2 linked regions of the Xenopus tropicalis genome follow. The protein of the gene in region 2 purifies or fractionates together with the protein of the main gene of each other region. This does not show direct contact. Links are inferred from orthologs where the notes say so. Each region holds a gene or a part of one and is shown on either strand. Other genes may lie near its edges.

Region 1 (4,023 bases), on a different chromosome or scaffold from region 2:
GTAGTTGACAAAAGCTGGGGGGTAGCACTTCACACAACAGATCCACATTGAAAGCAGCTGGAAAATTCCACTTGGCAACAGCAGCGACTACTGAGTATTTATAGTACTTATTGCCCGTATTTACTAACACGACTTCCCTTCCAACTGCCCCCAAAACAAGCCAAACGGCACGAGGTAACACCCCAAACTAACAGCACCCTAACAACCACCCCCCAAATAACTGCTCCCTGGCATACAAAGATCCCAACACCCCTAAATATCTGCTCCCTGGCATACAGACACCCCTAAATATCTGCTCCCTGGCATACAGACACCCCTAAATATCTGCTCCCTGGCATACAGACACCCCTAAATATCTGCTCCCTGGCATACAGACACCCCTAAATATCTGCTCCCTGGCATACAGACACCCCCAAATAACTGCTCCCTGGCATACAGACACCCCTAAATATCTGCTCCCTGGCATACAGACACCCCCAAATAACTGCTCCCTGGCATACAGACACCCCCAAATAACTGCTCCCTGGCATACAGACACCCCTAAATAACTGCTCCCTGGCATACAGACACCCCTATATAAATGCTCCCTGGCATACAGACACCCCTAAATAACTGCTCCCTGGCATACAGACACCCCTAAATAACTGCTCCCTGGCATACAGACACCCCTAAATATCTGCTCCCTGGCATACAGACACCCCTAAATAACTGCTCCCTGGCATACAGACACCCCCAAATAACTGCTCCCTGGCATACAGACACCCCTATATAAATGCTCCCTGGCATACAGACACCCCTAAATAACTGCTCCCTGGCATACAGACACCCCTAAATAACTGCTCCCTGGCATACAGACACCCCTAAATAACTGCTCCCTGGCATACAGACACCCCTAAATAACTGCTCCCTGGCATACAGGGCACCCCTAATAAACTGCTCCCTGGCATACAGACACCCCTAAATAACTGCTCCCTGGTATACAGACACCCCTAAATAACTGCTCCCTGGTATACAGACACCCCTAAATAACTGCTCCCTGGCATACAGACACCTCTAAATAACTGCTCCCTGGCATACAGACACCCCTAAATAACTGCTCCCTGGCATACAGACACCCCTATATTAAATGCTCCCTGGCATACAGACACCCCTAAATAACTGCTCCCTGGCATACAGACACCCCTAAATAACTGCTCCCTGGCATACAGACACCCCTAAATATCTGCTCCCTGGCATACAGACACCCCTAAATAACTGCTCCCTGGCATACAGACACCCCCAAATAACTGCTCCCTGGCATACAGACACCCCTATATAAATGCTCCCTGGCATACAGACACCCCTAAATAACTGCTCCCTGGCATACAGACACCCCTAAATAACTGCTCCCTGGCATACAGACACCCCTAAATAACTGCTCCCTGGCATACAGGGCACCCCTAAATAACTGCTCCCTGGCATACAGACACCCCTAAATAACTGCTCCCTGGTATACAGACACCCCTAAATAACTGCTCCCTGGTATACAGACACCCCTAAATAACTGCTCCCTGGCATACAGACACCTCTAAATAACTGCTCCCTGGCATACAGGGCACCCCTAAATAACTGCTCCCTGGCATACAGACACCCCTAAATAACTGCTCCCTGGCATACAGACACCCCTAAATAACTGCTCCCTGGCATACAGGGCACCCCTAAATAACTGCTCCCTGGTATACAGACACCCCTAAATAACTGCTCCCTGGTATACAAAGACCCTGACACCCTAGAATACAGAGCCCCCCCCCAAAAAAAAATCAAAGGCACCCTGGCATTAAGAGACCCCAAAAAAAACAAAGGCACCCTGGAAAAGCAGAAAAAAATAAATGCACCCTGGCATATAGAATCCCCCCAACATATAGGCACACAGAGGGCCCCCCCCATATAGGCACAGAGGGGCCCCCAACATATAGGCACACAGAGCCCCCCCCCCCATATAGGCACAGAGGGGCCCCCAACATATAGGCACACAGAGCCCCCCCCCCCCCATATAGGCACAGAGGGGCCCCCAACATATAGGCACACAGGGGGCCCCCCCATATAGGCACACAGGGGGGCCCCCCATATAGGCACACAGGGGGGCCCCCCATATAGGCACACAGGGGGGCCCCCCATATAGGCACACAGGGGGCCCCCATATAGGCACACAGGGGGCCCCCATATAGGCACACAGGGTGGGGGGGGGGGTGAGGGTTTGTGGGGGGGGGCCTGAGGGTTGGGGGGGGGGGGCCTGAGGGTTTGGGGGGGGGCCTGAGGGTTTGGGGGGGGGGGCCTGAGGGTTTGGGGGGGGGGTTATACGGACAATAATAATAATAACAGAATCTGATCCCAAGGCACAGACTTCCCAGCATGCTCAGCTAGCCGTACAGTGAGGTACAACAGGGAGCCAATCACCTTGCGGCTCCAGCAGCTACACACAAAGTCCGGAGCCCGCTGAGCATGCTGGGGGATGTGGCGCTACTTACCTTCATAGCACAGAATGCCGATGTTATTGTTCATCTTATCCAGGTACTGGTAGTTCAACAGATCCATCTTCATAAAGAGCATTGGGGGGGCTGCAGGGAAAGACCCGCTTCCTTGCGTCACCCACACAGCGAGAGGGAGGCGGCCGAGTCTGCCCCCGAACTCCAGGGCCCCGCTAACCCAAGCCCACGGAGAGTGCCCGGAGCCCCTCGGCGGGTAGGAGGGAAACCAGAGGCGGTACGGAGGGTAAGCGGGGGCGGCTCGGCGTTTGCCTGCGGGCGGTTCCTGAAGAGCGAGTGAAGGGGAAGGACAGAGGGAACAGGCGCCTCACAGCCCCGCTGCAAGTTCCTCGGCACTGACACGCAGGCTGCTCCGGGCTCTCTCCCAGCGGGAACGGGGCGGGACTGCGCAGCCTCACTGGGCTCTCTCCCAAGTGGGGGGAACGGGGCGGGACTGCGCAGCCTCACTGGGCTCTCTCCCAAGTGGGGGGAACGGGGCGGGACTGCGCAGCCTCACTGGGCTCTCTCCCAAGTGGGGGGAACGGGGCGGGACTGCGCAGCCTCACTGGACTCTCTCCCAAGTGGGAGAACGGGGCGGGACTGCGCAGCCTCACTGGGCTCTCTCCCAAGTGGGGGAACGGGGCGGGACTGCGCAGCCTCACTGGGCTCTCTCCCAAGTGGGGGAACGGGGCGGGACTGCGCAGCCTCACTGGGCTCTCTCCCAAGTGGGGGAACGGGGCGGGACTGCGCAGCCTCACTGGGCTCTCTCCCAAGTGGGGGAACGGGGCGGGACTGCGCAGCCTCACTGGGCTCTCTCCCAAGTGGGGGAACGGGGCGGGACTGCGCAAGCTCACTGGGCTCCCTCCCAAATGGGGGAACGGGACGGGACTGCGCAGGCTCACTGGGGCGGCCCTTCTGCACATGCGCAGAGAGAGGGGGCGGGGGGATCCTGCTGCAGGTTGGCCCCGCCCCGTACCAAAACACAGATAAACTGCACCATTGGGGCAATGTAAGTCTGTCAGTGAGGGGTTAATGGGCAGGGGAACCGGCGGTACTGACCCAGGAACTGTAACCCCCGCCCCCAAGCATTGCTCTCTGGGCTGCACGTTTAACTCCTTATAAACCCACCCAATTGCACCCCCGCCCCAACTCCTACACTATATACCCCTCTTATTGCCCCCAGGTATCTCACCGATTAACCCTACACGTGCCGCTGTTCCTCCTCTCTCTCTCTATTAACCCTACATGTGCCGCTGTTCCTCCTCTCTCTCTCTATTAACCCTACATGTGCCGCTGTTCCTCCTCTCTCTCTCTATTAACCCTACATGTGCCGCTGTTCCTCCTCTCTCTCTCTATTAACCCTACATGTGCCGCTGTTCCTCCTCTCTCTCTCTATTAACCCTACATGTGCCGCTGTTCCTCCTCTCTCTCTCTATTAACCCTACATGTGCCGCTGTTCCTCCTCTCTCTCTCTATTAACCCTACATGTGCCGCTGTTCCTCCTCTCTCTCTCTATTAA
Region 2 (4,029 bases):
CCGGAAGTTGCCCAAAGTTTTCGCTTAAGGCAACTTCAGGCGGCTTCCGGAAATTGCAGCGACGCGTATGCCATCCCACCGGCGATTTACATTCTAGCCGGTGGGATAGCATTGCGGGGAGATTAGTTGCCCGCGACAAAGAAGCTGGGCGACTAATCTTCCCGTGTGCCACTGCCCTAAAAGGCAATGTTTAGTTGTGAAATACTCTGGGAAGTAAATTCACTAAATTATTAATTTACCACCAACTACACTGTAATTTGTAATATCGGCCCCAGCTCTAGGTGGTGAAATACCTGCCTAGGTGCAAATCACATTAAGTAGGTGCAGGGGGGGGGGGAATTCCCACAGCAAAAAGCAATTTAAATTGACACATCTGCAATGATGCATTAAAATAACAAAAGGTTCCCTTTATTAATTATTATAAAATTATACTGTTAAAACCATAAGGTAAAAACAGCAGATTACAAGACATCAAAAAAGCAGCATAAAATATTCATCACACAGCAACCAAAAAGACTCTCAAAAGCTTCTGTTTAATTATTTCAGCTTTAAAGGAACAGCCCAAAATAAACGACTGTTTTAAAGTAATTCTTTAGAAACACTTTCATTCTCCGGTGGTCCTGTTCCTTTAAGCTGCCTACTATATTAGCTACTGTTTGGCCCACACGCTTTACAAAATATATATGACTAGACAACGTTATCGCGTCTATAACCCACCTCACCCCTCTCAAACCAAAAACACATACAATACACAGCCTTTATTTATGTGCAGCCACAAAGCAACGATCCTAAAGAATTGTCCATGTAAGCGCTTTTACTAGCACGCGTTCCATTTCAAAGGAGTGTGCCGGCAACTATTAGTCTCACACGTCACCGTTTGCACTGTTTTGTATTTCACTGCGTGTCACCATTTTGTTCAACCTCAGAACAGAATTTTCACACAGCAGCCCGCTGCTAAGCGAGTCACGTGATAGGAACACCACGTGTGCAGAGCGCAGAAGAGCAGAGAGGGCGGGGAAGTTGTGCGGACAGGCCCGGGACTCAACAACATGTTTGTCAGTGGGGGCGGGGGAGTGACGTCAAAGCCAGGTGGCATTCTTGGACTTCGTCATTACGGTGCAGTTTAGAGACGCGCACGCACTCGCGGAATCCCAATCCTGCGTGACAGAGTGTGCGCGTTCGTGTGAGTGCGCGTTCCGGGCGGGCTGCGGCTTGCGGATAGAGCGACAGTCGGAGAGAGCACGCCCGGAGAGGAGAACGGCGGAAAGACAGGCGAAGAGCCCGGAGAAGCGTGCTAACCGGCTTTCTGTGCACCCAGCGTCTCCTAAATAGCATCCGGATCGAGCAGAAAGAGCTATCAATACCCTTCACCGCATGCTCCCCCCACGCTGAGTATTCCTTCCCCTCCCCTGTGTTGAGCCTTCGCTCACCAGCATGTCGGCCGCACAGGTCTCCTCCTCACGCCGCCAGTCGTGTTACCTGTGTGACTTGCCACGGATGCCATGGGCTATGATCTGGGACTTCACTGAGCCAGTTTGTCGCGGCTGTGTCAACTATGAGGGGGCAGATCGAATAGAATTTGTCATTGACACTGCTCGGCAACTGAAACGCAGCCACAGTTTCCAGGATGGTCGTTCACCTGGACCCCAGGGCCCCGGCTCAGGAGCAGCCAACAAACAGCACCCAGCTGTGCAGGCAGCCCTCACAGCAAAAGATACTGCCCAGCTAAACCATTTAGATGGGGCTACTAAGGCAGCAGCTGCCTCTGGGCTGGAGAGATACGGATTGGCCACAGATCGAGGTCGCTTCGAGTACACATTAACTGCTCGGCTTCCCAATGGCCTTAATGGGTTCCCCAAGCCAGGGGAGGATGGCCCCCCAGAGCTGAACAGGCAGAGTCCCAACTCACGCGGCCGAACAGGTCATGGGCTAATCCCACAACTGGTGCCAGGGCAGCTGAGTGTGCCTCCTAATCTTCTACCCCAGACCCTTCTTAATGGACCACCATCAGGCACTCCATCAGGAGCTCCTCATGTTCTGGGAAGGGGTCCTGCAAGTTCCAGTGGCCTAAGTGTTCCACCTACAGCCTCTTCATCTGGTGACCCCAAGCGTCCAGGATCTGTATCTAGTACTGACCAGGAGCGAGAGCTCAAGGAAAAGCAGCGAAACAGTGAGGCTCTTTCTGAACTGACAGAGAGCCTACGTAATAGAGCAGAAGAGTGGGCAGGGAAGCCTAAAGCAGTGAGAGATGCATTGCTCACTCTATCTGCCTGTACACCCTTTGATGTTCGCTTCAAAAAGGACCACAACTTGCTGGGGAGAGTCTTTGCATTTGATGCTGCATCAAAGCCAGGCCTGCTGGATTATGAATTGAAACTGTTTGTTGAATATCCCAGTGGCTTACTTAATGTGTTTAGTTCTGCCTCTGGTGTAGCCAAACAAATGTATCAGGACTGCATGAAGGACTTTGGTCGTGGTCTGTCATCTGGTTTTAAATACCTGGAATATGAGAAAAAGCATGGTTCTGGAGACTGGCGTTTGCTTGGGGACTTGCTTCCAGAATCTGTGCGCTTTTTTAAAGAAATGGTAGGGGCCGATATGTTACCCCAACCCTACCTTGACCCTGGGTGTCCCATGCTGCCCAGCGCACTTGTAAATCTGCCACGGGCACTGGCTGCAGCTGCAGCTGCCTCATCATCAGCTGGTGGCAGTGGGCAGGCCAGAAGTGGTGTAAGGAAACGCAAACCCTCCCCAGAACCAGACTCAGCCGATGGACAAATGTGGATAACTGGGCAGCCTGATGGTATAAAACAACTAAGCATGGCAGCTGCAGGAGGCACACCATCTTCTTCATCTGCAGCCTATGGTGTACCTTCTGTTCCTCCCCCACCGCTAGGCCCTGGCCACCCACAGCGCACAACCCCACCTGAGAGTGCACCTCCAAATGGTCCATCTCCTATGGCAGCACTTCAGTCAGTTACAGACACTCTGGGCACTGCCCACTCCCCCAAGGATGGGCAGACAGGTGGTGTACCACCAGTTCACTCCACCACTTCATCAGCCCGCAGAAATAGCAGCAGCCCAGTTTCACCTGCATCGGTAACAGGACAAAGACGTCTTAACTCCCGCAATGGTGCAGGTTCAGCAGACCTGAGTCTTCAAGTGGCACCTGCTGGGGGTGCCCCTCATCCTGGAATGGACCAAGTGCATCCCCAGAATATTCCTGATTCCCCCATGGCTAACAGTGGCCCTCTGTGCTGCACCATTTGTCATGAGCGTCTAGAGGACACACACTTTGTCCAGTGTCCATCTGTGCCCAGCCACAAATTCTGCTTTCCCTGTTCTCGTGACAGCATTAAAGCCCAAGGGGCAACTGGTGAAGTCTACTGTCCCAGTGGGGAGAAGTGCCCCTTAGTGGGTTCTAATGTACCGTGGGCATTCATGCAAGGGGAAATTGCCACCATCCTGGCAGGGGATGTCAAGGTGAAAAAGGAGAGGGACCCTTAGGAACTCCGGTAAATCATGGTCACCTGTTCTGTGCAAGGGGTCCCCTGCCCCTTTTGTGTATATGTTCAGCTCCCCACCAATAACCTGCAAACCAAAGACAGGTTCTAATGGATGGGGATTTGTGAGAGAAAAGAACCAGAATGTTGCTCTGCAAAATGGAATGTAATGAGGCAAATCTTTCCCTTTATCCCTAACACATTCCCAAAATGCCTCCATGTGGAAACATACTAAAGGAACCTACTGGTTTGCAGATGTAACTTTGAGAGCAGGACACCTACAGTGTGCAGTGAATCGGTTACTGGCATTAGGGAATTGTTTGAAGAGACACCATAAAACTCAATGGTTTTTAATCTTTGGCCTCCAAGGGGTAATGCAGTGACATTTGTAATTATCATGGAAATACAGACATGCCTAAGGAATGAGCACTAGAGCACCCAAGAATACTCCAACCACTTAACCAAATGGCAAGAGGCATGTTGGTGGGTGCAAGTTGCTCTCTCGCACAGCCTTATGCAGAATCGA

Evidence for each region.
Region 1: the proteins of irf2bpl (region 2) and vgll4 purify together in Homo sapiens (affinity purification with mass spectrometry; 3 studies listed by BioGRID and IntAct, counting the BioPlex papers as one, with this or other methods). This does not show direct contact. The link is inferred for Xenopus tropicalis from reciprocal best matches to the Homo sapiens genes IRF2BPL and VGLL4.

What each region holds. Positions count from the first base shown.
Region 1 is NC_030680.2:151,253,275-151,257,297, reverse strand, and holds the start of vgll4 (transcription cofactor vestigial-like protein 4), read right to left. Parts: upstream 2,801-4,023; 5' UTR 2,590-2,800; coding exon 2,508-2,589; intron 1-2,507. UniProt on the Homo sapiens protein: May act as a specific coactivator for the mammalian TEFs.
Region 2 is NC_030684.2:82,572,828-82,576,856, forward strand, and holds the start of irf2bpl (interferon regulatory factor 2-binding protein-like), read left to right. Parts: upstream 1-1,229; 5' UTR 1,230-1,434; coding exon 1,435-3,507; 3' UTR 3,508-4,029. UniProt on the Homo sapiens protein: Probable E3 ubiquitin protein ligase involved in the proteasome-mediated ubiquitin-dependent degradation of target proteins. Through the degradation of CTNNB1, functions downstream of FOXF2 to negatively regulate the Wnt signaling pathway.